Lonchura striata: one gene and its partner. The protein of the gene in region 1 interacts with the protein of each later gene in a pairwise test. Links are inferred from orthologs where the notes say so. Each region holds a gene or a part of one and is shown in the gene's direction. Other genes may lie near its edges.

The links.
Region 2: the proteins of SAR1A (region 1) and SLC38A7 interact in binary tests that used the Homo sapiens proteins (3 or more experiments, as listed by UniProt). The link is inferred for Lonchura striata from reciprocal best matches to the Homo sapiens genes SAR1A and SLC38A7.

The regions. Positions count from the first base shown.
Region 1 is NC_134609.1:36,613,255-36,629,422, forward strand, and holds SAR1A (small COPII coat GTPase SAR1A), read left to right. Parts: upstream 1-7,583; 5' UTR 7,584-7,661; intron 7,662-8,003; 5' UTR 8,004-8,020; coding exon 8,021-8,078; intron 8,079-8,932; coding exon 8,933-9,052; intron 9,053-9,505; coding exon 9,506-9,571; intron 9,572-9,963; coding exon 9,964-10,067; intron 10,068-10,498; coding exon of another isoform or gene 10,499-10,553; coding exon 10,554-10,685; intron 10,686-11,266; coding exon 11,267-11,383; 3' UTR 11,384-12,273; downstream 12,274-16,168. Other genes in the region: PPA1 (inorganic pyrophosphatase), read left to right, coding at 501-554, 1,009-1,128, 2,348-2,434, 2,714-2,840, 3,323-3,450, 4,845-4,930, 5,150-5,219, 6,281-6,320 and 1 more; TYSND1 (peroxisomal leader peptide-processing protease), read left to right, coding at 13,370-14,340, 14,424-14,557, 14,626-14,811, 14,899-15,110. UniProt on the Homo sapiens protein: Small GTPase that cycles between an active GTP-bound and an inactive GDP-bound state and mainly functions in vesicle-mediated endoplasmic reticulum (ER) to Golgi transport.
Region 2 is NC_134615.1:16,309,067-16,324,432, forward strand, and holds the start of SLC38A7 (sodium-coupled neutral amino acid transporter 7), read left to right. Parts: upstream 1-9,046; 5' UTR 9,047-9,134; intron 9,135-10,307; 5' UTR 10,308-10,451; coding exon 10,452-10,748; intron 10,749-10,960; coding exon 10,961-11,159; intron 11,160-11,246; coding exon 11,247-11,388; intron 11,389-12,103; coding exon 12,104-12,202; intron 12,203-12,896; coding exon 12,897-12,954; intron 12,955-13,299; coding exon 13,300-13,414; intron 13,415-13,638; coding exon 13,639-13,786; intron 13,787-13,868; coding exon 13,869-14,068; intron 14,069-14,346; coding exon 14,347-14,401; intron 14,402-14,494; coding exon 14,495-14,597; 3' UTR 14,598-15,366. Other genes in the region: GOT2 (aspartate aminotransferase, mitochondrial), read left to right, coding at 830-986, 2,162-2,290, 2,628-2,687, 2,809-2,970, 3,402-3,506, 4,391-4,541, 5,192-5,357, 6,294-6,444 and 1 more. UniProt on the Homo sapiens protein: Symporter that selectively cotransports sodium ions and amino acids, such as L-glutamine and L-asparagine from the lysosome into the cytoplasm and may participates in mTORC1 activation. The transport activity requires an acidic lysosomal lumen.

The DNA.
Region 1 (16,168 bases):
CTCATTCAGGGCAGTACATAGATACCTACACTATTTAATAGGTGGTTTCTCATGTTGGTCTTGTCTTTTCTGAATGGCCAGAGTGGCTCTTTCTGGAGCATTAAACACTTTGTATTTAATAAATAAGGCCTAAACCCCATTTTGTTGTGTCCAGGGTAGTTTGTATGCAGCTGTTTGCCATTGATTTAACCTGTTCCTGTAGCCTAGGAATGTGATAGGGATGATTGTAGGTGGCAACTGCTGGAGAACATGTGGGAACTTCAAATCTGGCCTTTGGGGTGTTTTGTGGGATTCAGCTTGGAGTGATGACATGCAACTGACTGGGCTACAGGACTTTTATCAGCTGTCTCAAAATTAGCTCTGAAAAAAGAAACCAAAACAGCAGAACAAACATGGTTTCAGGTGAGCTGGCTGTTTTTTCTGCTCACTTATATGTGTTCCCTAGTTTAAAGCATGGCCCCAAGGTTCCTTCCCACTCACTGCTGTTTTGCTTTCTTCAGAATGTGTTCAACATGGTCGTGGAGGTACCTCGATGGACAAATGCTAAAATGGAGGTAACTACATTACAGTTCCAGCCTTAATGCTTGGCTTTGTCAAGCCCTCCTCAATTCCACCTCTGGAATTGCAGTGGTTTCTACCTGCCAGTTGGTGGTTAGAAGTTAGTGGTTTCTAACTTCTCCTGTGAGAACCTGCTTGATATGGAGGAAATAAACCTGGAAATAAACCTCCTCTGATGTGGAGGCTGAGATTGCAGATGTTGGAATGCTGTGGTGTTCTCACATGGCTTCTGATAAAAGCAATATTTTATGGCTCTTGGCTCCATGTGATTCCAAGGCTTGTAAGTCTGCTGGAAACCAAGGGATGGCAATGCAACAGGAGGTGTCCAGTATCTGCTGCTGGTATCAGCATCATCTCCTGGTCTTTTGGCTTGTCAGTTCCATTAAAAATAAAATCACTTTTTTATTCATAAAGGGTAAAGCAGAGGGATTTATGTAACTTTTCTTTCAGATTTCCACAAAGGAACCCTTAAACCCAATTAAGCAGGATGTGAAGAAAGGGAAACTGCGCTTTGTAGCAAACGTGTTTCCCCACAAGGGCTACATCTGGAATTATGGTGCCATCCCACAGGTACTGTGGTTTATCCCAGTGGATCATCCCTCCTGTTGGGGAGGAGGGAGGGTGCTTGCAATTGCCACTGTATTAATGAGCAAAAAGGTCAGCAGAGAGTCTGGTCTGGAGCGCAGTGAGACTTCAAACAGGCCTGTTTGCCTCTGATGTTCTCTAAGGCTGGGGTTTCCTCCAAAGAAATAAGCTGTCAGTGACAGATCACAGGCAAGCACTCTGAATTCGGTGTTTGTGCTCTTGACAGTAGCACATGTCAAGTGTTTTCCCCACGTGGCTTAACAAGTTGAGTTGTTTCCTGCTTGAATGAATTCTGCTGCTTGTTTCTTTGTGCACAGTTGTGTCTTTTGAAGCCTTTGCTCTGTTATGTGTTTGTGATCAAAGATATTTGTGCATCAAGCGCTTAACATTTCCTGGTAGAGAAATGTGATAGGGTTTGTGAACAGCCCCACAGCACCACCCAGGTGTCAGAACATCTTCCTCACCATTCTGGATGCATCACAAGGTCCTGACTACACTAGTCCCCCCAGAGAAGTTTGGGAGGAACTTTCTTTTTTATATCTCAACACCCTTAGGAGTACATGTTCCTTATGTGGGAATGTGCTTTTCACTCCTGATCAGGAGCGTGTTTTAAACAGCCCTTGTTCTTGGAGTCAATTAACTGGCCTCTGGAGTCATGTCCTTCAATGTGCATTCACCACTGTGGGTGAGATGCACTGGAGAGCACAGTGGGACTCCACATTCTTATCACTTCTCCAGGGTTTTTAATTGTTTAATTAAAGGGAAACAATACACCCTGTCTGTCTTCCTTCTCTGCTGGATTGCTATCTCGAGTTCAGGAAACTTCTGCTAAGGAATGAATAGGGAGAGGAACAGGCAGGAAGCCAAATCAACAATTGCCCTTTATAGATGTGAACTTCACCTTTACACAGCTGTGGGACAGGGAGGAAGTCTGGAAAGTTGTTGAAAGGGGCTTTGTGGGTAGGAAGGGGCTGCTTAGCTTTTGGAAGATGAGACCTTTTAACTTGAATTCAAACTCCCCACGCCCAAGGGAAACAGTAGCCCAAATACCTGACCTGGCAGCAGGTGTGAAGTGGGCCATCCTCTGTTTATTCCAGGCAACTGCATGCCCGAAATAAACCTGCTTTTTACTACCTCTTTAAACCTGCGAGTTCTTATTCTTATGTGTAGTTGATTTTGGTGTTGGTTTGGGGTTTTTTTTCAGACTTGGGAAGACCCAGGTCACAAGGATGAAAATACTGGTTGCTGTGGAGATAACGATCCAATTGATGTCTGCGAAATTGGAAGCAAGGTAGCGCATCCTAAATGACTCCTGAAACGTGTAATTAATGTCTCCAAAGCCAATTATTCAGGGATTATTATTCATTTCCTACCCCTCCTCCCCTTAACAATGTGATGTTTCCCTCTGCTGCCTCTGGAGACTGTTGCTGCGATGAGCCAGGGCTGATGAGCTGCTGACAGCCAGAGCTAATTTCATGGTACCTGGCTGCTTGCTGAGCCCCTGCACAGCCTCCTGTCGTGCACTCCTGGGTGCACTAGGATGGACAACAAGGCCTTTGTCCTTTTGCAGGTCTGCTCTCGGGGAGAAGTCATCAAAGTGAAGGTGCTGGGCACTCTGGCTCTGATTGATGAGGGAGAGACAGACTGGAAGGTCATTGCTATCAACACTGAAGACCCCGAAGCAGCCAGCTACAATGGTGAGTTACAGGGGGGGGGAGCAGCATCAGTGCTTCCCTTCCTCCCCTGAAAACCTGCAGGAGGTGGGGACAGGGCTTGCTCCTTCTGTGCTCTGCTATCAGTCAGATGTGGTGCTGGAAGGACAATCCTAGAGCAAAACATTTCATTGCAGTTTGGCACATGTGGCCAACCCTCGGCACAGCCTGGCATTCCAAACACAGTGGAAGAAAAGGGATTGTCCCCCCAGCCTCTAATCCAAACTGTTTAAATGTGTCCCAGCTCCTGGGGACACTTGGGATACACACCCTGGGGATGAAACACTAACTTCCCTGAGGACATACTCACTGAGGCTTCAGGGAACCTTTCTGAAATGTTGCTAAGGCTGCTTGGGGAGGGGCTGAAAGAGGCACAGCCCAGAACAACTCAGCAGAGCCACATAAATTCTGTAATTCACTACATTCTGTTACTGTTTCTGGCTAACAAACCTCATGTCCCCTTCCAGACATCGAGGATGTCAGAAGGATGAAGCCTGGATACTTAGAAGCTACTGTGGACTGGTTCAGAAGATACAAAGTACCGGATGGAAAGCCAGAAAACCAGTTTGCTTTTAATGGAGAATTTAAAGGCAAGGTAGGATCACCTTCCTTTGCACAGTGGCACCTGGCCCAAAACCTGAGCTCAGGCTGCGTGAGAACACGAGCAAGTTGCTGAGATAATGGATTTTTATGGGGGTGCTGATAGTTGATTTCAGTTCATCCTGCTGGTTTTTTCCATCCTAGTGAATACAGGAATACCAGGAAAAAAAAAAAAAAGCCTGGGGTTATCCCCATGGTGTCATTGAATATTTTTTTCATGTGGGATCATTTGAGGGCTGGGAGCCTTCGTGTCAGAACCAGGTGGAAAACACCAGGTTTATTTCCTCCAGCTGTGGAGCAAAGGCAGCTTGACATCACCCTTTGCCTCCCTTACCTGTGGACTTTGTTCCACTGCAACCTGGTGCAAGTTAAACTTAACTCAGGAGTTAAAACACTTCTTGCTTCAGGCATGAAGTGTTCCCTCACACCCTGTGAGTAAGGCTCTGCCTTGGCAGCACTCTGCCTCTTCTCTGGGTTGGATCAGATAAGTTACTGCTCCTGAGCGGGTGAAATCCTGTTTTGGTGTCCTCACTTCTGCCCTTCCTGGAGTGCCATGAGGGGTTTAGTGAGGTGACTCAACTCCTAGGGCTCCAGAGATGGTGCAGAGGAGGGGAGTTCTTCCAAAAGCCCTCTCTGGGAAAGAAAATGGAAGTCGTGAAGGACTTGTCCCCTTTGGCTGTAGCACAGCACTAGGCTGGTCAGGCTGGAACACCTCGTTGCCCCTTAGGATGGGTGAAACCCATCAAGGAAACTGGAAAATCAGGATACAGAACTTCACACATGCTCTGCAGTGTTTTATTTGGCTTGGTTTGGTATCAAACCAGGACGTTTAGTGCCAGTGTTCACACCAAGAAAGGACTGCATGTGTTTCCTTCTCCAGCTGACAGGTTAATGCTTGAGCATATATTGCTCATTTTTAAGGGAAGAGGTTGATATGCCTGGAAACAAATTCATTTTTAAGTAGTTGCAAAGCCTGATCAGCTGCATGTCTCTTCCTGCTGGTCTGAATTATTTGCCTGGAGTGGAAGAGAGCTCCTGGACAGGCCCGGATCAACAAGCTGCTGGAGACAAACCGAGTGGGAGGAGCAGCAGGGTGAAGGTGCTTTTATAGTGGAGCACTAGCCCGAGACTGTGCTCAGTTTCTTTTGGCCCCAAGCTTGCTCTGTGACCTTGGCAGATCCTCCCATCTTGGAAGCAAAACAACAATTCTCCTACACAATCCTGGTTTTTTCAGCTGTTGTGTCCTGGGAGTTTCTGCTCTTCCTGAATGGCACTGGAGCAGAAGAGGTTTCTTCCAGCCCCTTCCAGAGCATCTTGTTAGTGATAGTCTGGAGAAGGTGATCTGGTGCTTCCAAGTAACATGATGTTTGTTCTCATTTCCAATGTCAGGATTTTGCCCTGGATGTCATCAAAGGCACCCACGAACACTGGAAAGCTTTAATAACAAAGAAAACTGACGGAGGGGAGATCAACTGGTAGGCTAATGCTTGTGGGAATGTGCACCTTCCCCTTCCCTAAACTAAAACCCCTGGAACATCACTTCCTGAGGGGTGCCATGCTTTCTGTTAGCTGCTGGCTGTCTCCCCAGGCCTTCCTCTTCCACTTGGCAGCTGCAGTCCTTAATATTCCATTATTTAATGCTCCTGGGGGGAGGCTAGGCTTGCACATTCTCACAAGTGCCCAATGTCTTCCAGCACCAACCTGACGGTGTCCGACAGCCCTTTCTGCTGTAGTCAAGACTGTGCAAAAGCTACTGTGGATGCAGTAAGTACCAGTTTGAGTGGCCAAATCCTGGTGTTATTGTTGGGAAAAACGGTGCAGTTTGTGTGGTGAACTGTCCTCTCTGTGTGAATGGCACATGGCATGCTCACAGTGTTTTGGGTGGCTGAACACCTGCTTCTGGTTAAACAGGGTGGATGTGGAGCAAACCAGACATTCCTCCCTGCCCTTAGTCATCCAAGAGATGGAATCCCAAACGGAGTTTGCGTGGAGGGCTAAACTTCTGAGCTGTAGCTTGGTTGTCAGCTGTTCTGAGAGGGTTTTAATATTTGGGCTTCCAAGAGCTTCACAGTACAGGTCTCCCTCTGAGAAAAGAGAATCTAATTCCCCAGGGATTTTGCAGCTTCAGAATGAAGAGCTTGATATTCCAGGTGTAGTTCTCCTGTCCAGCCTCAGGAATTAATTGTGTCTCCCTAGACTTGCAGAGTACTGCTGTTGGCAGCCTGAAAGGGCTTAGAGGGGAGGGGACAGGAAAATTGAAGTGCACATCTTGTCTCTCTTCCATAACTGGAAACCTGGGTCTCATGTAGCCTTGGAGAGACCTTTAAAACCATTGTGTTCTTTTCTAAAGTGCTGGTATCCCAATTAGGGGTCTCATCAAGGTTTTTGAAAGCCCTCATGGAGGATGTGTCACCAGACAGGGATTTGCACTGTCTTTGCTTGTTGAATACCAGAGAAAGCTCTTCAGAGGAGTTCTCAGAGAGCCCTTCGTGCCTCTATTCCCCCATAATTTTTAAACCAACGTTGTAGATTTAAAAAAAAATCCAGGACTGCCTGCAGCTGTGTAGAGTCTGGAGTGGGAACTGCTTGTGCTGGGGGTCAGATGGCCCTGGAGCCTGCACTTGGAGGAGAGCCCCTCGGGCATCTCCGGAATGGGGAGGCTACAGGAATGACCGGATGCTGCACATGAGCTCAGATGTCCCCCCCACAGCTGACCAGCTGCCACAGGGGCTTAAATGGTGCTCAGGAAAGACTTGTGCAGCCCTAAATGATGTGTGGAGAGTGAAGGACACCTCTGGTCTCTGATAACACCCTTCTTGTTTCAGGCACCACCGTGTAAAGCTGCCAGCCCCATCCCACCCGAAGGTGAGCCTCAAAACCCACCCTGACATCCCAGTACACAGCAGGGGCTTCCTCAGAGGAATTGTGCATAGGAAAATGAGGGTGTGAGGTAAACCTGGATGTTGCTGTAGCCAGGGCAAGGCCCGAAGGCAAACAGGGTGGTGTTGGGAGCAGAAGGTGGAGCCAGGCTGACACTTCCAATCTCTTCATGGGGAATAAATCTGTGGAGAAATGTGTGTCTCCCATGTGGGCATGGGAGTTGGAGGCTTTGCCTCCCTGAGTCAGCTGAGCCAGAGGGAAGCCTGGCTTGCTGTCCTTGCCTGCACCAAGTCATGAATGCTCCTAATGGCAGCCTGAGCAAGGCTGGCTGCTTTGGGAAAACAAATCCACATAAACAGGGTTGTGCCAGAACCTGTTTGCTGTGCTGAGGAGCTGTTGCCAGGAGCAGAGGAAGCCCCTGAGCTGGAGGTGACACACACACACTGCCACGTAACTACTTAATAACTGGGTGGCTCACAGGGGACTAATCCCCCCTCCTTTTTTCTGCCCCACACAGTTGACAAATGGTTCTACTACCAGAAAAACTGAGTCCCGAGGATGGTGGTGAGACAGCTGTGTCCTTCCCACCGAGCTGCTGCCACACGCAGGAATAGACCAGAAAAATAGCTTCAGTGTCAGCAAGACCTTGCCTGTAACTTTGCTGATTAGAATTCTGTACCTAGCAGTGACATGTCTGCTGAGGCCTGGTGGAGGCTGGAAGAAATAATTTATAAAACCCGAACACCCTGCTTGTGACTGTCATGTGGTGTGCTCTAAGTCATGACAGGAGATCACTCACCTGGGATGTGTATGGATGCTAGAAATAAAAAACTACTGAAATCCAGTGCTGTGGGGCTCCCTCTCCTTTTCGTCTCTGGAGCTGAGGGGTCACAAAATCGCAGGATCCCTCGGGGATCATGGAGTGCGGCCTGTGGCCGGTTCCCCACCCGGGTACCGAGTGTCCCTCAGACACTCCGGGGATGGTCACGCCTCCCTGGGCCCCCTCCAAGTCTCGCCGCCCTTTCCGTGGAGGAGTTCCTCCTCGTGTCCCGCCCGGAGCAGCTGCACAGCACGTCCTGCCCGCTGCCCTTTGTGGCGAGGCGGGGTTAAGGGGGTAGCTGAGGGCCGCGTCCCCGCGGGGCCGAGGCCGGTCTCGAACCCGGGACCCCGCGGGGCGCGGGCGGCTCTCGAACCCGCGCCCTCCCCGGTGCCGCGCGGGGCCAGCGGGGCCGGAAGCGGGCGGGGCGCGCGCTGACGCGTTTCCGGCGGGGCGCTGGCGGCGGCCGCGGACGGGACTCGGCGGCGGCGGCCCGGGGGCAGCCGGGGGTGAGCGGCGGGGGCGGCGGCCGGGCCCGGCGGGGCGCTCAGCGGGGCGGCGGGCGCCTGGCAGGCCCGGGAGAGGGGCGGCGGCGGCGCGGGGGGTGACACGCAGGCAGAGCGGGGGCGGGGCGGGGGCCAGGCCTCGCCGCCCGCCCTTGAGGCCGGCCCCGCTCACCCCGGTGGCCCCTCACCCCCCGTCTCCTCTCACCCCCGTTCCCCTTCGCCCCCGCTCCCGCCGACCCCTCCCGTTGCCGGGACCTCCGACCCCCCCGTCCCGGAGGCCGTGACCGCGGCTCCCTTTGAGCACCGACACTTCGTAACGCGGGGTTTGGGATTTGTCCCCCGCAGGCATTTTATTTCCAGAGATGTCTTTCATCTTCGAATGGCTCTACAACGGCTTCAGCAGCGTCTTGCAGTTCCTAGGTAATGCCTCAGCAGCCCCCTCCGGGTGGGTTCGGCTTCTCCGGTTCCCAGTATCCCATAAAAGTCGGGGTTAAGGTGGTGTGCAGCAGCTCTGGCCAGTGCAAAGTCTGGTGAGGAATCTCTGTATCAATAAAAGGGCTTTTACACTGGTGCAGAGAAACTTTGGGAGTATTTGGAGGCGTTGGGCTCCCACTCAGGTGTTTCTCTTGCCCTTTGCATGCCTGAGAGCAGCTAGGCTGTCCAGCCCCAGGCAGAGGTGCTGCCTTGACAGGGAGGGAGCCCCATCCTCCTCCTCCTCCTCCTAGAGTCCTGGATTCCAGTGGAACTCCTTGCTGGAGGATAGGGTGCCCATTCTCATGATCCTCTCTTGAAAGGAGGATTAGAGGGACAGGGTGAGAAGTCCTGTTGGAAACTTTTGGGAGCTTTCCTGTGGCAGACACAACAAAAATCAGTTTATGCCAAGAAAACAACACTCTGTTCCCTGCTTTGCACTTTTTCCTGGACAACTCGCTGCTCTCTTTTATGAGTTTGTTCAATTTTAACATTTTCTGAGGAGGCAGATTGGTCCATAACACTCTGCTGCACGCTGTCCTCTGCTGCTAGTACAGATCTGAGGAAAGAATGGAATTCTCAGGGGCACACGAGCTTAGGAAATGTCCATTGCTGTGAGCATGCCTTGGAAGGAGCCTGTTAGAGCTCTGTGTGTTTTCCCTGCTGCCCCGTGTCCGTGCTGCAAGTGTGCACAGGTGGCAGCAGAGCTCTGGGAAAGGACTTCCCCAAAAAAGCAGCGTGGCGTTCTGGCTCCGGACGAGCCCGCTGGAGCTTTCCTCTTGCTTTGTTCCCTCTCCTCGCAGGTTTGTACAAGAAGTCTGGAAAGCTGGTTTTCCTGGGGCTGGATAACGCAGGGAAAACCACTCTGCTGCACATGCTCAAAGATGACAGGCTGGGTCAGCACGTCCCCACGCTACATCCCAGTAAGTCTCCCTGGGAAAAGCCTCCCGGCCTGGCTTTTCCTCTGGAATTGTGGGGACATGGTGTAGGAAGACACCTTGGTGGCAGCTCTGCCTGGGGGATTTGAGGGTCTTAAAACTTGAGCTGAGGTTGCAGCTGCACTGTGCTTACCCAGGCTGAAGTGGGTCTGTGTTTTCCTCTCTAGAAATGCCCAGGAACTGGTATGGCTCAATTAGTAGAAAGGGAAGATTTTCCTAATGGAAAGTCTAATAAGGGATAATAATTGCAGGTTAAAAAGCTGTGGGAAGCAGGAGAAATTAGTTTCTGCCGCTAGTGATTTTGGGAAATGGCTGCATTTCAGCCACTGAATTCCACAAGAAGTTTAGGGAATTCCTTATTGGAAGAGCATGTGTGATGCCAGCATGAATGCCCACCTTCCTTGTTTTCCTGAATCCCACCTGTGCTTTCCATTTCAGCATCAGAGGAGCTGACAATTGCTGGAATGACCTTTACGACTTTTGATCTGGGTGGACATGAACAAGGTGAGGAAAAAATGACCAAAAATTGATCCAGACGAGTGTCAGCAATTAGCAGTGCCTAATTATTTGTTGCCTGGATTTATTTATGGAACAATACGTGGAAGCAACCTCCTGGCTGTAGGATTGCTTGGAAGGAAATGCTGCCAGTTCATGCCCTGCTGCCTGGAGTATTTTTAGCTGTGGAAGACTGCAATATAATTTAGTTTGAATAATTGATGGATTTTTAGTTATGTACTTTCTAGAAGTTTTAAACACAGGTTTTTTGCCCTTTTATACACAAAACTACTGGAAGGAAGACAGCCTGGCTAAAAAGGCAGCCATGGTTGCTGAGGCTTGGTGGATTTTTCCCTGTGTGGAGATTTCACAGGGCCATGTTTGTCCCTTGTGTTTTCCAGCTCGCCGGGTCTGGAAAAACTACCTGCCTGCCATCAATGGGATTGTCTTCCTGGTGGACTGTGCAGATCACTCACGGCTTATGGAATCCAAAGTTGAGCTTAATGTAAATACACTTCTCTTGTTTCCCTTCTCCAAGACCTGATCAGCTAAATTATGAATAACAGCCATCTCTCCCAGAGCTGGAGGAGCCTGGATGTCCTTGCTCTGGGTTGGCCACAGGCACTTGAGTTCAGGGGAGGCTCAGCTGGGACAGCAGCAGGAGCTTTTCCTTTCTCCATGGAAAGGCTGCTCAGGCCTTGGCAGGGCTGCCCAGGGAGCTTTGGAGTGCCCATCCCTGGAGGTGTCCCAGGAAGGGCTGGAGGTGGCACTCAGTGCTCTGGGCTGGGGACAAGGTGGGCACTGGGCACAGCTGGGACTCTGGGCTGGCAGGGATTTGCCAGCCTCAGTGATTCTGTGAGTCTTCCACAGGAGTATGGAAGCCCCAGAAAGGAGCCCTTGTTGGTCACAGAGCTCAAACAAAACCGTTTTCTTCAGGCAACGACTCCTTTTTCCACCTGTCTGCTCAGCTCTTGTTGGCTCTTGCATGCAGGCGTTAATGACAGACGAGACAATATGCAACGTGCCAATCCTTATCTTGGGAAACAAAATCGACAGACCAGAGGCCATCAGTGAGGAGAAACTGCGGGAGATCTTTGGGCTCTACGGACAGACCACAGGAAAGGTAGGGAAGCATCCAAATCTTGGATTGGCAATGGGGAGAGCTTGCCTGCTTCCTTGCAGGTTGAGCCCTGATTGAGTTGTGACTGGGAATTTGTCCACTAATTGGTCAAAGTCAATCAATGATAATAATGATGATGTGCCTGAAGGGAGCCAAGGAGAGAGACTGTTTAAAAGCCATGGAGCGGTGGGACAAGAGGGACTGGCTTCCCACTGCCAAAGGCAGCTTCGAATGGGAAATTGGGAAGAGATTCTTCCTGTGAGGGTGGGGAGACCCTGGCACAGGCTGCCCAGAGGAGCTGTGGCTGCCCCATCCCTGTTCAAGGCCAGGTTGGACGGGGCTTGGAGCAGCCTGGGACAGTGGGACCGAGCAATGGGGTGGAATGAGGTGATCTTTAAGGTCCCTTGTAACCCAAACTTCTGATGCTGCCCTTGGGCAAGTTTTGAGGCTGCCGGGATTGTCCAAAATGCAGTGCACACACAAAGGGGCCTGCAAAAGGAGCTCCCCTGGATGGCTGTGGCTCGCTGGGTGCTTCCCTGAGGGCACCAGGGGTGCAGATGTGACTCCTCTTTGGATTTCCCCAGGGAAATGTGCCACTGAAGGACCTGAATGCGCGCCCCATGGAGGTGTTCATGTGCAGTGTGCTCAAGAGGCAAGGCTACGGTGAGGGCTTCCGCTGGCTATCGCAGTACATTGACTGATACTGGCACGGACACGAGAGTTTTACTCCTCTGGACTGATCCTGTTCACTTCAGCTTCCTATGGACTTTTCTATTAGAACGTGGAAGGCTTTCCAAGCGCATACTGGCATTGTCCAAGAGACTCCTGGTTTTCCGGCTGCCCTTATGGCACAGTGGTGACACCACTCTTTTCCACGCGGCGGGGAGGCAGCGCTGTTCCTGAGTTGTCCCTGCCACTTGGGTGACAGCGGGGCTGCTCCAGGCTGGGAAGGCAAAACTCTGCACGCTGCGATGTAACAGCTGAAAAAGAGAGCACGTCTCACCACTGTGGTTAATTGACTTCAAAAACAAACAAACAGAAAAGGAAAAAGTGATTCTATTTTTTAAAGAAAGTGTTAATGTAAATGACGTCCCTTCTAACTTTTTAGTTTAACGTTCATCTTGTTTAGTCCAGAGTCTGGTTTAGGGTTTTTTAAAAATATATTTAACGGTATTTAGGTATTTCACAAATTACTGAACCAAGGTATCACGATATTAGAAGTCCTCAATAAACATAGCATTTGGGCTTAACTGAGCTGTAGGGTGGCTGTGCTGTGTCACGCTGACCGACGACAGCGCGGTGCTGTTGGGACTGAGGTGTGCAATCCCAGCTTCTTTAGTTTACAGGGAATTTTTTTTTTTCTTTTTACTAGTTGGGGAGGAGCACCTGGTGCAGGTGCTGAGGCTGGTGTGTAGTGGGAAGGGACTGCCTGGTTCCCCCTCAGGCCAGACCCTCCACTGAGGATCCTCTGGCCACGCCATCACAGTACGAACCACGGAGCAGTTTTGGTTGTTGTAGCATGGAAGTGTTTGACATTTGCATATCATGAGGTGATTAATGTAGACTAAACTGGTTTCTTTTATACTCTCAACGGACTTTTTTTTTTTTTTTTTGTCTGAAGTTTCATTGCTGTCTGGCACTCATTTTCAGTTCAATAAAGACATGTCTTTCTCCACCGAAGGGGCAATGAGCCTCAGTCTGGCTTGGTGTTTGCTGGGCCTTGGGGCCATCAGAACACCAGCCACAGAATTCCATAAGCGTTTGGACAACGCTGTCAGGCACAGGGTGGGATTCTAGAGGCTGTCCTGTGCAGGGCTAGGAGCTGGACTAAATCCTTGTCACTTCCAACTCAGGATATTCATCCAATGGTTCCATGGTCCTGTGACCTGCACAGTGCAGCCAGTGAGGGAAACAGGCAGGATGGAAGAGCCGCTTGTCTCCGGGCTGGCATCCAGGGAGAGCTCATGGCTTGCAGGGCTTTGCTCTTGGTAGAACAAACCCACACCGAGCCCAGACAGCCGGGAAGGGGCTGGGGGGGAAACGGGGAGGGGGGGTCTGACTCCCGGTATTCGGGGGCGATTTTAGCTGTTCCAGAAGGATTTTCCCAGTCCCGGTACCTCTGTTGGAAATAAAAGTTTCGTACTCGTTGGTGCTGCGGGTGAGGTGGGAAGCGAGCGTGGCCGTGGGGTGTCCGGGCCGAGGGTCCCGGGAACGGGGCGCGTGTGCCGGTGTCCCGAAGTGCAGCGCTGGGTCGTGGTGGGCGAGGGGCGGCTGCGGGCCGAGGGTCCCGGTTCTCCCGGGGCCGAGGGGCGGCTCCAAAGCAGGCATTCCTGATGTGCCGGGGCAGCGGGGCCGGGCCGGGGCAGCGGGGCCGGGGCCGGGGCAGCGGGGCCGGGGCAGCGGGGCCGGGCCGGGGCAGCGGGGCCGGGGCCGGGGCAGCGGGGCCGGTCCGGGGCAGCGGGGCCGGGCCGGGGCAGCGGGGCCGGGGCAGCGGGGCCGGGGCCGGGGCAGCGGGGCCGGGCCGGGGCAGCGGGGCCGGGCCGGGGGCCGCGCACCCCCGGTGAGGGCCCCGCGGGGGCGCGCCCGTCACGTGCGCGCTCCGCCCCGGCCAATGGGGAGGGCGCGGCGCGGGGTGGCAGCCAATGGGCGCGCGGGGCGGGCGCGGGGGCGCGGCGGGGATGGCGGCGATGGCGGCGCCGCCGTGCTGCGCGGTGCGGGTGCGGGGCGCGGGCGGCGGCGATGGCGGCTGCAGCGGGCTGGTGCTGAGCCGCCGCCCCGCGCTGGTGCTGTGCCACGCCGCCGTCTTCGCCCCGTTCCTGCGCGCCGGCCCCCTCGCCTGGGCGCGCCCCGCCGCGCTGCTGCCCGACGCGCTCCGGCCGTGCCCGCGCCTCAGCGTCGTGCTGGGGGCCGCGGCCGGCGGGCTGCGGGAGCTCGATGCGCGGCTGCTGGCGCTGGTGCCGTGCGCGGCGTTCCGGCGGGCGCTGGAGCGCGGCCTCGGGCGGGCGGAGCGGTGGCGGTTCGGGGCCTCGGAGGACGCGGGCACCGACCCGCGGGCGCTGCCCTGGTTCGCCTGGCTGCGGGTGCCCGGGCTGGACGCGCCCGAGGGCGGCTGGGCGGCGCGGACCAGCGCCGGCTGCCTGCGCAAGGGGCAGGCGCTGCTCGCCTGCGGGTCGCCTTTCGGAGACCTGTGCCCCGAGCTGTTCCTCAACACGCTGAGCCGGGGCGTGGTCAGCAACCTGGCGGGCGAGGAGAACGCCCTGGTGCTCACCGATGCCCGCTGCCTGCCCGGCACTGAGGGCGGCGCCGCCTTCGTGCCCTCGCCCGACGGGCCGCGCGTGGTGGCCGTGATCGCCGCCTCCTTCTGCTGGAAGGGCGCCGAGTGGGTCGGGCTCACGCTGCTCTGCTCGCTCGCCGCCATCCTGCGCAGCAGCGCCGGCGTCCTGGGTGAAGCCGGGATCGTGGTGCCGCCGGTGCCGGCGTGGGTGGCCGCGGTGCCAGCGAGCAGCGGGCAGGATCCCCTGGGCTGGACGGCGCTGGTGGAGTGCGGGGCGACCTGGGGCTCCGGGGTGCTGCTGGCACCAAGGATGCTCCTCACCTGCCGACACGTCGTGGAGGCAAGAGCCCCACTCTACGTGACACCGGCAGCCGGCCCCGACCAGTGAGTGCGGCTGTCCCCCTGCCAGCCTTAACCCCCGACCCTGCGTGTCCCCCGCCATGACATCTCGTTAACCGTGTCCTTAGGGATGTCGCCGTGCTCAGGGGACATGTGGTGTTTGCCACCGAGGAGTCATCCCCCTTTGATGTGGCCGTGGTGGAGCTGGAGGAGAGCGTGCCAGGCTTTGTCCCACCGTGCCTGGCCAACACCTTCCTCCCAGGTAAGCACTGGGGGGACACGGGCTGTTAGGTAAGGACTGCCTCGCACCTGCTGCCTCTCCCATCCCAGGAGAAGAGGTGAGCGTGGTGGGCTTCGGGGCGCTGGGGCAGGCGTGCGGCCCCTCGGTGACAGCAGGGGTGCTCTCGGCCGTGGTGGCTGTGGCTGGGCGCCCTGTCATGCTGCAAACCACCTGTGCCGTCCACGGGGGCTCCAGCGGTGGCCCCCTCGTCTCCTCCCGCAGTGGATGCCTCATGGGTAAGCCAGGGGTCTCCCCGTGGGCAGGTGGGGGTGGGCATCCCCCGGCCAGACCCAGTGATGTGGGCATCACTCCCTCCCTGCCAGGCATCGTGGCCAGCAACACGCGGGACACCGCTGTGGGGGCTACCTACCCCCACCTCAACTTCTGCATCCCCATCACCATCCTGCAGCCGCTCGTCGCATGCTACTGCTGCACTGGCGACCCCGCCGCCTTCGCCGAGCTCAACCGGGTGGGTGAGGGGGTGAGGGCGACTTGGCAGCTCCAGCAGAGGCCAGGACTCCCCAGCAAGCTCTGACGCCCCTCGTGTGAGGCTTGTGCCAGGGACCGAGGTATCAGGGACTGAGATGCCAAGGATGGGGCTGCCACATCTGCTCTTCAGCCCGGTGGTGTGGGGCCCAAGCACCTGCACTGCACAGAGCCAGTGGAGCATGGGCACTCTGGGGCAGGGGATACAGCACAGTGCCTCTGACAGCTGCTGACAGCCCCAGACTGGAGAAGTTTGGGGTCTGTTATTGTTTTATTTTCTCCCTGGGGCCATAAATGCAGTGAATTGAGGCCCTGGTGTCCCGTGTGCTGAGTGGCTGCAGGGGGGGTGGTGGAGGCCCTCACTAGGGTGTGGGTTGGGTTCTGGGGGGCAGGTTGGTCCTGTAAGGGATATTCTGGGTTAGGGGTAGGATTGGGGTAAAGCATGGGGAGGGAAGGCAGTTCTGATTCCTTCCACGGCTCTGGACCCTGTGGAAAGGGGGTTTGGGATGCTGGAGAGGGTCAGCAGCTGGGGAGGGGACATGTCCCTGGGGAGGGAGGCCAGTTCCAGCTTCATGGCAGCAGAGTACAGGAACCAACCCAGGGCACTGACAGGGGGGCACTCCCACCCCAACCTGCTCCCCAGCCCTGCAGTGCCTGCTCACTGGAGGGCACAGCACCACCACCACCCCCTGCCCAGGACAGCCCTGCAGGGCAGGTGGGTGCAGGGGAGGCACGGGGGGTGCCATGGGGAGGAACGGGCGGGCGAGTGTTTGACACAGCACGGGGTATTTATTTCACAGCCACTACACAACGCCGGGGGCCGGGGCAGCCACGCAAGCACAACATGAGGGGGGATGAGGGGAGAAAGGAGGGGCAGCTTATCTATAAGGGGGTTTGTTGTTTTTTTTTTTTTGTTTTTTCCTCTTTTTTTTCCCACTTTTATTAGCGCCATTTGCCCGGTTGAAGACCACGCAGCAGCACACTAGGCCTACAAGGCTCTACCCAAAAAAAAAAAAAAAAAAAAAGCTCAAATTCGCATAAGAACGCCCCCCCCCCCGCCCCGCTCACCCCCTCCCCAGGCGAGCGCCCCGTTGGCCCATCCCACAC
Region 2 (15,366 bases), on another chromosome or scaffold:
GCCAAAGGAAAAAGCAGGTTTCTTTTTATAGCATGGTCTGCTCTGCCCTTGACATTAAGAGAGCCTCTCCATCTTCCTGGTGTGCTGCCAACCAGGCAGAGGCAGGTGGCTCCTTGTGTTGGGGGAACACAAAGCTCCTCCTGGTGCAGGGAGGTTTTGTGCTTGACAGCAGGGGAAGGGTCTTCACATCAGAGCTTGTCACTTGTCACACGGGGAACAAACTGTCTTCCTTCTATGATTTCCTGGAAAACAGCATTTATCTACAACACCAGGGGAGGCAGAGTTTGTAGGGCAAGGAATGGAAATACCTTTGTTCTATTAGCCAATGTTGGGAAAAAAAAAAAAAACCAAAAAAAACCACAAAAAACAAATTAGTTTTAATGTATTACAGCCTTCCCAGGAGTTTGGAAGATACTCCATATTCATGCTTTTGTGCAATTGTCTGGGTCTGGCCAAGGTTCCCTGGAGGGGAATAACCTGTGCAATCCCACATGCAGGCTCTGGGCACTTGTCCAGAGCATAGGAGTTCAAGGCTTCAGTTTCCTGCGCTTTGTGGTGTTAGCACATAAGGCAAACAAGAGCATTTCAACATGCAAATGACTGAGAGGGAGTCAGTTATCTTCAGCCACAATGAACTGAGGCTCTTTACCCATTCTGCAATATACAGTGTGACTTAAATGGCTTGGTTTGTTTTTTTGGATAATTCTCTGAACACTATTTGTACCTTTTTCAGTGGTTTAAAGACAAGATTTCCCTTGGGGGTTTCTGTTGGTGCACATCTCTGCCCAGTTCTCAAGCCTCATGCTTAGCTTCTTGTTTCTCCCTTTAGCTCATGGTGGTCCCATGTGGAGATGGGTCCCCCCGACCCCATCCTGGGGGTGACAGAAGCTTACAAGCGTGACACCAACTCCAAGAAGATGAACCTGGGAGTGGGGGCATATCGGGATGACAACGGGAAGCCGTATGTCCTGAACTGTGTTCGCAAGGTGAGCTGGGTGCTGGCTGCTGGGCAGGGCCAGATCCAGGTGCCAAGTACCCTGAGGGAGTCAGGGAAGGGGAAGGTCACTAAGCAAATTTTGTCTGTTGATCCTTAAAATAAGCTCTGTCTCTAACAGAGCAGGACAGTATTCCTGGGTGTTTCTCTTAGCAGGACTAATGCTCTTGAGACATGAAGAGCTGTTAAGTAGTACAGGACAAAATAGAAAATACATGTCCTGTTCCCATTCAGGTAACTCTAACTCGTTGTTGACTTCTATGAGCCCTCCAATGCACTCTGAATTTCAAGGTGTTTCTTGAACAGGCTGGTGTTCTTTAGGGCACCCACAAGGGAGGAAGGAGCTGACATTGGCCCCTTAATGGATTAGTCTTAGAAATTCTGCTGAGCCGATACTACCAGTTTCTCCATAAGCCAGTCTAAAACTCCAGCCCAGGGAGCTGGGTGTGGACATTGCCCTTGAAGGGATTATGGGGTCTTTTAGGGCTGTAGGGGTAGAAATAGGCTGTTAAATAGCTGGCAGTGGAGATATGCATTGATTGGCTGCATTAACAGGGAGGGTGCAGGGAGAGTGCCTTTTCCATGTGTCTCATCAGTGTAGGTTTTAAAGCCATCCCTTGCCCTCCCTCTCTGTGCAGCTGGGTCACAACCAGGGAACATGGATGGTGTCACAGGGACAGTTTCCTAGTGGTATGTGAATGCTGCCAGGGTCTGTGCCACTTCCAGCATGACAACACCCTGCAAAAGGTTTCCTACCCTACGTGGTTTGGGGATGTCTTCCACAGAGAGAGATGATATCTGCCTCTCAGTAACACTCAAGTCTTGCTTTCTTGCAGGACAATTCCTGCTTGAGCAGAGAAGTGTGTGTCCTTGTGCAGCAGCATTGACTTGTAATGGGCTGGAAGTGGTGCTCTCTTCTGATGCCAGGTTTCTGTGGTTCCACTGTACCAATGCTGTCACCCACTGAGGGCTCTGGTGGCTTTGGGGTTTTATCTGAAATGTTTACTGCTGCCCCTTGCTGCCCAGGAATGAGCCCTGCAGGGAAACTCCTGTAAACCAACCTTTGCCCCTTTCGAGCAAGCAAATGTGCAAAGAAGTGACCTTCAGCTGTCCATCACTCTCTGCACGGTGATGCCTTCCTTGCTGAGCTTGTGTTCTCCCTTCCAGGCGGAGGCCATGATAGCATCCAAGAAGATGGATAAGGAGTACTTGCCCATCGGGGGACTAGCGGATTTCACCCGAGCATCTGCAGAACTGGCTCTGGGGGAGAACAGTGAGGCTTTCAAGAGCGGCCGGGTAAGGAGAGCCCAGGGCACAGGGGGCAAGGACACGTGGTGGGTATTGAGGGCTCAGCAAATGTGGAAGAACTGGTGGGGTATTGATGCTTCTGAGTCATGGGCTGGCTGGCCCCAAGGATCACTGCTTCCTCTGAAGGCTGGGGTGAAACAGTGCTGTCCAAGAAGGGGAGGGGTCCCAACTCCCTGCTATGGAGCTGGAGCTGCTGACCCCTGTGGTTCCTCCAGCCCCTTGTCCCTGTTTTGTGTGCTGCTGCCAGTCATGACATGGTGACTGTGCTCTCCCTGTAATACAACACGTCTACTCAGACTCAGATGTATTTTTTCTTTTCTTGCAGTATGTTACCGTGCAGGGTATTTCTGGGACTGGATCTCTGCGAATTGGAGCCAACTTTTTGGTGAGTGCCTGGCCAGCAGTGGAAGGAAAGGATGTATTTTGACCAGAGCTGATTTTTTATGGTTTTCTAACTGCTTGAATTTATACAACTTGTTTGAACACTCTGTCTTTCTATTGACCAGCAACGGTTCTTCAAATCCAGTCGTGATGTGTATCTACCCAAACCGTCCTGGGGTAATCACACTCCCATTTTCCGTGATGCTGGCATGCAACTTCAGGCTTATCGTTACTATGACCCCAAGACATGCAGCCTTGACTTCTCTGGAGCCATGGATGACATTTCTGTGAGTTGCCTTCTGTGCCTGGAAGAAGGGAGGTCATGTGGGGAAATGAGTGGTGATATTACTTTACCCTAAATGTGATGATGAGGCATGAAGCTGTGTCGGGGAGGTTTAGTCTGGATATTAGAAAAAGATTTTTTTACCCAGAGGGTGGTTGGGCACTCAAAACGGGGTCCCGAGGGAAGTCTGCCAGGCTTCAAGGAGTGTTTGAACAATTCAGGCACATAGTGTGGTTCTCATGATTGTCCTGTTCAGGGCCAAGGAGTTGGACTCCCTATGGGTCCATTCCAGCTCAGAATACTCTATCATTCTATGATGCCTGAAAGCATTAAATCAAGGCTAGAAGCCTCACAGAGCTCATCTAAGCTGTCTCATTTGCTGAGGAGAGTGGTCAGATATCATCAATTATTCATTCTCTATAACATCTTCCTTAGAAAATTCCAGAGAAGAGCATCATCCTCTTACATGCTTGTGCTCACAACCCCACTGGGGTGGATCCCCGGCAGGAGCAATGGAAGGAGTTGGCAGCTATGGTGAAGGTAAGCAATGTCCCAGGGGTACTGTGCCATTCCTGGGAAAACCTCATCTCTGGCCTTTCATGGGTGGCACCTGGTCTTCTCTAAAGATTATTCCCGTCCCTGAAGCCAGGATGGGTGTCATGTTCCTGACAGGAGCCAGTCAAATGTACCCAGGAAGCTTCTAGCTGGCCATTGGGCTTTCTGCTGGCACCTCTCCAGGAAGCTGGAGTAGGGAGACCTGAAAGGAGAGCAGCAGGGTTGAAAGCATGAGCTGTGATTGCTAGAACGGAGTACCCAGTGCTGGTGTATTAAAAATGCTGGAAGATCTCTCACATGCTTGGTGTCTCATTGCAAGCTTCAGCTGCAAATAGATTGGGACAGGTTCTACCTTCTCCTCCTTCCTGCTGCTCCATCAAGCCTGTAGCCGGTGAAATTTGGCTTGGAGATACCAGGCCTTAATAGGGTCCTGAGAATTGGTAGATATCAAAGTGATCTCTGTGGCCTACAGAAAGGTAGCTCTAAGGGGCAGTGTATCTGGGGTCTCTGCCTAGCTGACTAGAGTTCCCAGGTGATTTTCCTGGAAACTGATGATACAGAAGACATTGAAGTAGACTATTTTATTGCTGTCGAATTTACTTCTGCTTCCTGGGCCAGACTTGCACATCCCATGGGTGGAGGGATTTTCAGCTCCGGAGGATCTTCAGCTGCTGTTTTGATGTGTGCTGGGTAGCTGCAGGTTTTGGAGTGCTTTCCCTGTGGTGAATGAAGGGGAACAGTGCTCTTTCTGGAGGAGAATCGCTGCAGGTGGACAGACTGCTGTCTGCATGGCTTTTCTCAGCCTGCTAGCCCTGCACCTTGGAGGAGTGCTCAGCTTCTGTGACACTCTCTTCTATCTTTGCTGGCAGAAACGAAACCTCCTCGTGTACTTTGACATGGCCTACCAGGGCTTTGCCAGTGGGGACATCAACCGGGACGCCTGGGCTGTGCGGTATTTCATCGAGCAGGGCATCAACATCGTCCTGTCACAGTCCTTCGCTAAGAACATGGGGCTGTACGGTGAGTAGGGCACGTGGTGAGGAAATAGTTTAAACCAGGATGCTGCTGGGATCCCAACACCTTCAAGGTTTAGCAGCCAGTGTTTTCCTGCTGCCTGTGTTCATCCTGCAGGGATAACCCAATAGGAGCTGGTGGAGACGCTTCTAGAGAACAGGGATCCACTAAAGCTGTGTGGTGTTGGGTGCAACAGCATAAGACAGATAGAAAGTTTTCAGAGAGTGTCCGAAAGAGACTACAGAGATGGTGAATGGTCTAAAAGAAAAGCCATAAACGGAGCAGCTGAGGACACTTAGCTTGCTCAGCCTGGGGAAGAAAAGACTGAGGGCAGAGCTCATCACAGGCATCAGCTTCCTCTCAAGGGGCAGCATCTGCACTCTGCGACCAGTGGCAGGACCCAAGGGAATGACATAGAACTGTGTCAGGGAGGATTTAGGCTGGATATTCGGGAAAGGTTCTTAACCTAAAGGGTGATTGGATATTGGAACAGGCTTCTCAGGGAAGTGGCATAGCATAAGCCTGACAGAGCTTAAGGAGTGTTTGGGCAATGCTGTCAGACACAGGAATTGTGGGATTCATGGGGTTGTTCTGTGCAGGGCCAAAAACTGGACTCAATGATCCTTCCAACTCAAGATATTCTGTGATTCTCTTAGGAGAGCGTGCGGGTGCCTTCACAGTGATCTGCAGTGATGCAGATGAAGCCAAGAGGGTCGAATCACAGCTGAAGATCCTCATCCGCCCCATGTACTCCAACCCACCTGTGAACGGAGCACGCATTGCATCTATGATCCTGAACACCCCTGACCTACGGAAGGAGTGGTAAGAAGAAATCTGTAATGTTCATGACAGTGAGATCTCTTTGTTCAGCCTTGTGCTGCGCTTACTGTCTGCTGCTGTCACAGGCAGCTCTTAGCTTCAGCAACAGTCAGAACCATGTTTACTCTGGATAAATCCTTGATTATGTCCTGGCATCAGCTGGTGTCAGTTTAACCTGGCACAAACAGGTTTTCCTTGTGTTAGCAAGGAAGAAAACTCTGTAAAGGAGGGGATAAAGCTCCCATAGGATTGAGGGCTGCAGGAGCTGCCTATCTAAGAAGCCTAAATGTCTGACGTGGTATATAGCCATGTAGTGTGTCTCTTGAGGGGGAAGTGGAAGCAGAAGCCCCCTGGGAATGAGACCCAAGAATGTAACCCTCATTCCCTAAGCCTGATTCCTGGTGTCAGCCTGTGCTGTTTTCCCAGCCCCTTGGTGCCAGGTCCTTCCCAGCAGCTGGCCTGGCAGAACAAAGGTTGGCAGTGTGCTGTGGCCTCACTGGGGGCTGTGTTCTTTTGGCAGCCTGACACTTGAGCCTGATCCAGGGCCCGGTGGAGACATTTCCTAGCTGTGTTGCTTTGGAGCAGGGCCTGTTTTGCCAATGTTAGCCCTGCACGCTTGGTTTACCTGTAGATACTATTTTATCTGGGTTTGAATAGTGCTGCCATGAGGCATCCTACTGACCTGTGCCTTTCAGACGTGAGAAATGTCTACATTCTAATAGTAGTGTCCAACAGCAATGGAATAAATAAAAAGAGATCACCTTTGAGTATCAGGAGAAAGAAGCAGCTTTTCCAGCTGGAGCTCCTTCTTCATGCTCATCTGCATCTCCCTATGGAGCCCCTCTAGGTGGAGAGGTTGATTTTCAATAGCTGGGGTGGGGAGAACAGCATTGGTGTGTTCCAGCCCTGCTCTCAATGGTTCCTGGGTTGTCTCCTCAGGCTCACAGAGGTGAAGGGCATGGCTGACCGGATCATCAGCATGCGGACTCAGCTGGTGTCGAACCTCAAGAAGGAGGGATCCTCCCACAACTGGCAGCACATCACTGACCAGATCGGCATGTTCTGCTTCACAGGGCTGAAGCCTGAACAGGTAAACACAATTCCAGTGGTCTCAAAGTGTCATTTGCAGTCCTTGTCAGTAGGTTTTTGACTACAGATGCCAAAAGGAACCCTTGAAAGCACTTCTTCCTCAGAAAGAACATCCTCCAAGCCCTAAGCAGTGGCACATCATGGGGACCCCAGTCTTGCTCTGTTCCCTGCTGTACTTGGGGAGGTTGAAAGTAAATGTAGCTGTCATGTCTATCAAAGCAAGCAATCACTTGGTGCTGCTGTGAAGTGATCTTAAAGGTCAAGTGAGGTGACTCTTCCAGCTGAACATCTGCAGTGTTGCTGCTTAGCCTGAGAGCTGAGCAGCATCTCTCTTGGTGCACAGGGTACTCTGCAGGTAGTGGGATGCCCTGTCTGCTGGCAGCCAGTTTGCTTTGAGTTTCAGCAAGCTGGGTAAATTTGCACTTTGCTGACACAGGAAAGGTTGGTCTGCAGTTTGAACTTTGCTCTTTCACCCCAGGTGGAGCGGCTGATCAAGGAGTTCTCAGTCTACATGACAAAGGACGGACGCATCTCTGTGGCGGGAGTTACGTCAGGCAACGTGGGTTACCTGGCTCATGCCATCCATCAAGTCACAAAGTAAAGACAAAGGGGTGCCCTGGAGCTGGTGGCTTTCCCTTCCTCACCAGTCGAAGATGAGGAGGGAAAAGAAACAAGCAGAATACTTCAACCACAGCACTTGAAGCCGCTGCTGAATGTATCTTGTAGATGAGTTGTAGAAGCCTAGTCAAATCCACCCTGTGTTGTGGAGCAAGGACATAATTGCTGGCTCCTGCTCATCACAGCCATTCTTCCCTGCTGTCCATCCTTTCTTCATCAACCCCAGCACCTATCTATGCTGGAGGAAACAAATGCTTACAATGCCATCCTACCAGTGTAGGCACCAAAGGCTTCTCCGCACACATTTCTCCATGAGAAGGCTTTGTGAGGCTTTTGGCTGCTAGCCCAAGCAGCAGCAGGCAGGGAGCTGGGTGGGCTGAGTTGGAGGTGTGGTCCTCCAAACTCCTCAGCCAGTCCCTGCTGCCAGCAGGCTCCATCTTCCTCCATCATCCCAGCCTGGGGCTGGGCAGCACCAAAGCTGTCCTGACAACCAGCTCTGAGGACTTCTCACTACCAAACTCCGCTCTGTTGTTGGCTTCACTCTTTCCATCTGGGACTCTCCTTTCAGGTGTAATTCACAGTGGCATCAGTGCGTGGGGCAGACCTCCCAAAAGGTGTCCCTCTTTTAAACCTGTCTCACTTTCATACCTGGAGGTGAAACAATTTCTCTCACCCCCTCCCCATCCCCAATAAGAATTTCCTCTGAAAACTGCTCTCTGGTGGTCTCTGCCTTGCCCCATTCCCGTCCTAAGCCCAGCAGTCCAGCCCTATACCCTCCCTGCACTCTTTGTTGAGTGTCTCAAAGCCGTAAGCCAAGAGGCTTGGCCCTGCAGTATTCCACTCACGTGGAGGTGTGGGGCATCCCTCTCTGGTCTGTACAACCACATTTCTGGTGACACCAAAAAAAGTGATCTTGAGAGAAATCTGAGAGCTGATGACTCAAAAACCATTCTGTCCTAAACCAAGTGTTCCTGAGGTCCTTGACCTACTGGACTCCGATTTTTAATCCAAATAAACTGGTGCATGGCTATGTTGAACTGGGGAATTCATCCTGTCATTGTGCAACTGGATCCTGTCCCTTCCATGCACCAAACAATCCCTCTCAGGACCATTCTAGCACAGGGGATCTTATGTGACCAGTGAACTCCTGAGAATTCCATGTAGAGAGGCAGTTCCCACCAATGAGCCCTGGGAGCACAGTGTGTGTGAACTGAGATTGTCCAGGTGCCATGGAGCTGAAATTTAGGCCTATGTTGTTGAATATAGGTGTTGCTGGCAAGAGGACAAATTCCCAAAAACTGTCTGCCTTGGGACATGGGCCCATCTTTGGCCACTGGCCCATGATGGAGTGGAGCCTCCCTAGGCGGAGCTGGAGGCATTACGTCTTAAGTCTGTGAGCTGTCTTCATCCACTGGCACTTCTTCCTTCTGCAGCTGTACCAGGGTATTTAGCAGGGCAGTCCTCATTTCCCATTCCTGCCCAGGGCAACTGTGTGCCTGCTGGAGCTGGGACAGGTCCGGTCTGGTGCACCTGTCCGGGTCTAGTGCACCTTGTTGCCACACTTGCTGGAAGGCTGGATCCTCCCGCTGCTCCCTGACAGAAGGTTTCCGCTCCCACACCGCATGTTTACTGGCCCGATGCCCACAGCCGCTGCTTGCTGTCCTTTGTGCAATAAACCGCTTTCCATGCCGCACACGCCGTAGGTGCTGCCCCACGGGGCTGTGGGTTCCTGTGCTGTGGTCCCCGGTTCTGCGTGGCTCTCGAGCTGCCGCCTCCTGTTACCCGCGTGGGGCGTTCTCCTGCTCGTTCTCTGTACAATAAAAGCACCCTGGAGCACAGCCCCGTCTGTCGCCCTCTCCTTGCCGCGTGTCCCCGGAGGCTCAGCCCCTGGGAAGGGTTACCCGAAGGGGGATGTTTCCCCTTCGCTGATGTTCCCCCGCCTCCGGGGCTGGACTACAACCCCCGGCGTGCAGCGGGCAGGGCGGAGCCGCCGCCGCGCCGCCGCTGCCGCCGAGCTCAGCCGGGGCTGGGGCCGGGGCCGAAGGGAGCGGAGCAGAGGGCGCTCCCCGCCTGGTGAGTGGGGCCGGGATACGGACGGACCGGGGGGACACATGCGGGGAGCCCAGCGACCGGCTGGCACAGGAGTCTGTGCATCCCGTGCGAACGCGGGCTGACCGTCACCGGCTCCGGGCCTTGCTCCTCCGGGCCGGGGGCGCCGCCGGGGCCCGAGCGGGGCCGCGGGTCTGTCGAGTCACCCTCGGTGAAGCGCCTGCTCTCGGGATTTCTGGTTGTCAGAGTATGGCTGCTCTGCCTGGACGGAAAGGACACCCTTCAGCATCCTCCCCCAGGCCATGGGAGAAGCATCGACCCCTGCAGCATCCTCACCCGGGTGGGAACTTCAGCCCACGCAGACCCACCGGTCCGTCCCTCCACGGTCCTACACACGGGGCACAGGGTGGCCCTTCCTCCCTTTCCCCAGAAATCTTTACAGAAGATTCATAGTACAAGCACAGAGTTTAAATAGCCCAGAAGCAAGGAGTGAGCTAGGCAGGTAGAGTCTCTGTAGATGTCCTCTAGGAATAAAAGCCAGATTTTCTTGAAAAGAGATTTCCCATGGTCATGTAGATTCCTACAAAATCCTGCCAGGTTGTGAGGGTCAGTCTCCTCCTGCTTGGAGACACTGGGATGAGATTTGGGCTTTCCAACCCCCAAGGGCTGTGATGCTGGAAACATCAGATCTTCAAATCCAAAAGCTTCTGAGACATCATCTCCTACTGGTTGTCAACATAGGGGTGCCCTGGAAGGGGCCAGTCCTGCTTTTCCTGTTGACACAGTATTTCTGCTGCACACAAGACATTCCTGTTGAGCCCAGCCTTGCCCTTTACTCAGAAGCACGTGCACAGCTGCTCTTGCAGAGCTTGCAGAAATTAGGGTTGGAAATCAGGAAATGAGCTATGACACTGGGTCTCATGCCCACAAAAAGGCAAGTCCTGCTGTGAGGTTGCAGCTCCTCAGCCCCAAGGCCAGGGCTCAGTCCCCTATCCGACAGCAGTTGTGTCCTCTCCCTGGATTTGAGGGACAAGAGGTAAGTTCTGCTTTATCTCTGCTGGCGTGTGTGTGTGCTGTGATCCCCTGAGCTAAGACCCAGGAACTCAGTTCCCCTGTGCCCCCACCTAATGCCGAGATTGTCCCTTGTTAATATAATTTAACTAACATTTAACAGTGTCATTCTTCATCCCCTTGTAGGAGTAAGGAAGTGCCTGATTCCTGGTTTGCTGCATTCCAGCCTGTTTGTTTGCTGCCCTTCCTGCCTGATGGAGCCAGCGCTGGCTGAGGACCCTCCTCAAGGTGCCCGGCTGAGCCTGGTGCTGGACCACTAGTGGGACGTGGATGGTGGTGTGTGCCACCTGCGAAGGGACAATGGCTCAGGGCACTGGCAGCATCAACAGTGACTACAAGGATTGGGAGTGGAGTGACGATGCCGGTGAACGGGCCAGGCTCCTGCAGAGCCCTAGTGTGGAGACAGTGCTCAAAACTTCAGAGATCCAAGGAAACAGTTTGGGGGCCACATCAGCTCTGGGAGCGGTCTTCATTGTGGTCAACGCTGCCCTTGGCGCTGGGCTGCTCAACTTCCCTGCCGCCTTCAGCATGGCTGGTGGCGTGGCTGCAGGCATCACCCTACAGATGGTGAGAGAGTGGGGAAGGACAGTCCCCCATCCCATCCTGGGAGAGTGCATGGGAGGGACATGTGGTGCCCCCGTAAGGGCTTGGGGAGGACCAGACTCCTAGGAAGAAGCTCGTTTGGGTGAGGTGCACCAGATTCTCAATGTATTGAAGGGTGGCTGCCTGGGGTAGCCATATTGTTGGCTCAGTGTTCCCCCGTCTCTCTCCCATCCCAGTGCATGCTGATCTTCATCATTGGAGGCTTGGTCATCCTGGCATACTGCTCACAGGCCAGCAATGAGCGCACCTACCAGGAGGTTGTGTGGGCCGTCTGTGGGAAGGTGCCTGGTGTGCTGTGCGAGGTGGCCATCGCTGTCTACACCTTTGGCACCTGCATCGCCTTCCTCATCATCATCGGAGACCAGGAGGACAAGAGTAAGAGCGTTCCGTGGAGCAAATAATAACCAGTTTTTGTCCCTTCAGCTGGAAGGGCCAACCTGACCATCTTGGTTGTCCCCACAGTCATTGCTGCTCTGGTGAAGGAGCCTGAGGAAGTTGGGAGCCACTGGTACACAGACCGCAAGTTTACCATCAGCATCACCGCTTTCCTGCTCATCCTGCCCCTCTCCATCCCCAAAGAGATTGGCTTCCAAAAATATGCCAGGTAGGCGGAAAGAGCCCTCTGGGCTGGGAGTTGGGGTGGGCCAGCTAGCACCCACTTAAGCATGGTTGTAGAGGACAGGGACTGGAAATGCTGTGGTTCTAGTGCCACATCTGTCCACTCACCTTCTGCTTTCCCACGCCTCAGTTTCCCCATCTGGGAAGCAGAGGAGTAGCTGAGCACCGTGCAGCCATAGTGTCATACTTCAGAGCTTGTGTCCCTCCCTTCTGCATGCTGGAGGAAGCATGGAATGCTGCTTTCAACTACATTGTCTCCTATCTTTTGAGTTGGCAATCCAGCAGAAAGGATAGCCACTCAGTGTCCCTAGGCTGGGTGATTTGCAGGCCAGCTCTGCTCCACCAGAAATCTTGGTGTGACCTGGCTGCTGGGGCTGGACCAGCAGGGGCACCAAGGAGTGTCACTGCTTCAACATTTGCCTCTTTCTCCAGCCAAACACCCAAGTCTAGCAGGTTTGCCGCTCACAGAAGGATGGGATAACCCCCAAATGCAACCAAATTGTGTTGGCATCTGCTTGGGGAACAGTGGGTGACATTTCCTGGTATTTTCTCATGGGAAGGAAAAGCAAAAATGGGTCTGATAGGTAGGAGGGGGGTAGCCTGGGCTGTGCAGGGCAGAAGATGGGAATGGAGAGGGTGGGAGGATACCCTCCATGAAGTGGGGAGGCAGAGCACTCACAGCCTCCTATCATCTTTCAAAGCTCCCTCAGTGTGATTGGCACATGGTATGTCACCGCAGTCATTATCATCAAGTACATCTGGCCTGACAAGGAGCTGGTGCCTGTGGAGATCCCCACCAGGTGAGAGCAAGAGACATGATGGTGTCGGTGCCATCATAGCACTGCAGAGCCAGGCAGGGCTGTGGGAGCAAGGGCTGCAAAGGCTAGGGGTGAATCTTTCATCAGTCCCATCGCTGGTCCTGTGCACTATGCATGTTGCTGCCAGAAGCTCCCAAGTGGCTGCACCTCTGCCTGTTTCAGAGGAGCAGATGATGAAGAGGAGGAAAAGGACCTCTTAAACGTCCCCCATGGCTCCATCACAGGTTTTGATAGCACTGATTGTCTTTTACCTCTGACATATCCAGGCCCTGGATTCCCTGTGCAGTGCTTATGCTCACATCAAGGGCTGTGTCTATATTTGGATGATTTTGGTTATTTCTTTAGCCAGCACAACCACTGTGGCTTATTCCCTTCCTCACAGTGTATATTTTTGGATCCAATGCAGGAATTTTATGGCAGAGCAAAGGTTAGACCAGTTTTTTGCACTGCCCAACTAGATCCTTATTTTTTACTGATACTTTTACTTTTATGTGCTCAGGTTTGGCTGTTTCTGTCTCAGTGAAAGGCCCTGTTCTTCCATGCAATGGTATCATCCTGGGTGGGGGGATGCAGTAAGGCAAAGACACTGAGCACTCCCAACTCATCCTCCCCTGGGGCACTGGATGGGGGTCACAGAGGATTCTGGTCTGACTGACGGAGGTTTCTCTCCTGCCAGCCCCTCCAGCTGGACAGCTGTCTTCAATGCCATGCCCACCATCTGCTTTGGGTTCCAGGTAAGGCCATGAGCTTGGCACTCCCCCTTCCATCCTATGGTTGCTTGGGTGACAGACTAAAACCCTGCCTGTGTAATTCGCTGGTTGATTGGCTAAAACCCTGCCCATGTGCTCAATGCACAGTTTTACAAGGAAACTGAAACCTTTTTAACATCTCACCACCTCTGAATGGAGAAGGATCCATTTTACCCCAGCTAGAACGTACAGGGCATCCTGTACCTCCAGCTTTTCTTCTCCAGTGACAAACCTGGAGTATCACAATATCACAACACATGCTGAATATCACGAGTAGGATGCCCTGTGGTCTGGCCATCATGTATCCCCACTGTCTCTGTGTCCTGGCAGTGCCACGTGAGCAGCGTGCCCGTCTTTAACAGCATGAAGCAGCCGGAGGTGAAGACCTGGGGGGCAGTGGTGACAGCAGCCATGGTGATTGCTCTCTTCGTCTACACAGGCACTGGTAAGTGAGGGGACACCGTGTGAGTGTGGCACAGTCCTTGGAGTGGCTGTGAGCTTCAGGAGGGCAGGGACCCTCTGGTCAGCAAGGGTCAGAGGGAGAAGGGAGGAGAGTCCATCGGACACCTCTGCAATGTGCTCTGTGCTATATCCATCTAAGTCTGGTCCTTCAAACAGATGTTCAGGAGACTTGTCCTTCTCCCCTGCTGACTGCTCCTTTCCTGACAGGCATCTGTGGCTTCCTAACCTTTGGAGCTGGCGTGGAGCAGGACGTCTTGATGTCCTACCCCTCCAATGACATCCCTGTTGCCCTCGCCCGGGCTTTCATCATCCTCTGTGTGCTGACGTCCTACCCCATCCTGCACTTCTGTGGCCGGTGAGCGCTGGGAGAGATGGGGCTGATGTGGGAAGGAGGAGCAGCACAAGGAAACCCCTCTGTCCTGGGTCTGTGCCCACAGGGCTGTCCTGGAGGGTCTCTGGCTCCGCTATACCGGGGTAACAGTGGAGGAGGACGTGGTTCGGGAGCGGAGGAGGCGCCTGCTTCAGACCATCAGCTGGTTCCTCCTGACACTCCTTCTGGCTCTTTTCATCCCTGATATTGGCAAAGTCATCTCTGTCATTGGGGGCTTGGCCGCCTGCTTCATCTTTGTCTTCCCAGGTAGGGCATCCTGTGATGCTTAGGGGCTGACAAAGCTCTCATGGCCTTGTGTCTCAAAGAGGGAGGGACAGGATGGAAACACAGGAACCAGGAGATTTTTAGAGGAGGACAAAAATGTGGTGTGGGGCCAGTCAGCAGCCCAACTATTTTGACTGGACATGGAGCTCTGTAACAGGGAGTGCAGCTTCCTCTTTTATAGGATGTCTGTTCAATCCCCAGTGGATAGTTCTCAGTGGATAGTTCTCATCTGGTTCTAATGTGCCTTCCCTACCTTTCAGGGCTCTGCCTGATTCAAGCCAAGCTCTCTGAGATCCAAGAAACCAGGGCAATCAGGTAACTGAAATGTGCCTCCCCTCTCCCCCATTCCCCTCAGGATATTGGGGTGAAGGACCCCTCTAAATACTCCCTGTCCTCCTGCATCCACAGCTGGTGGGCCCAGGTCAGCTATGGGGTGTTCATGGTCACCCTTGGAGCCTTCATCTTTGGACAGACTACTGCCAATGCCATCTTCGCGGATCTTACAGCCTGACTCCTCCAGGCTGGACTGCACTGCTGCTGCTGAGGGGATGGACATTTCCCCTAGGACCAAAGGGAAGTGGGAAGAAAACATGTTGGTGTGTTGGGAAGATCCAAAAGAACCGTTGTGACTTGGGGCTTGGCTGAAGAAGCCCTGTGGTGGTTTGTATCTCATTGTCTTAAGGCTGCAGGCAGTCAGGCTTCTCTCAGCCCTGGCTCCCTGGTGAAACCAGAGCAACACTACAAGGGGACCTGTCATCCTTCTGCCCCTGGGAGTAGACATCACTCCCTTAGACATCACTAAGGGGTCGTGGCTGGGGTTTGCAAAGCCATGCTGCTCTCATGTATGTACCCTTGTTCTGGTGGAGCTCCTCTCCACAGCTAAAAGTCCTTCTCCCAACTTTGCAGAGAGAAGCAGTGTTCTGCATAAAGGGAAATAGTAATCATGTTTATCAGACAGGGAGACACCCCATAGTCCTATTTTGTGTCAATGTTTGGTTTGAGTTCTGGTTTCCTGCCGGTCTCCTGCCCCTACGGTCACATCTCCCTCTGCCTGGGCTGCACTTTTTTACAAAGGGTTGCCTTCAGCCTGTTCAGGTTTTTTCGTTTGAGGATCAGAATGCCCCTAAGGTAGGGACATGCCAGTGCATTGTTTTCCTTGCCAGGGGTTGCTCACTCAGTAGAGAAGCTGCTATGGCTGCATCAACCTACTGAAGACACTACAATAGAGCAATGCTCTTCTCCAGATTTACAATCCCGTTCTTCCAGGTGTCCAGGAAATG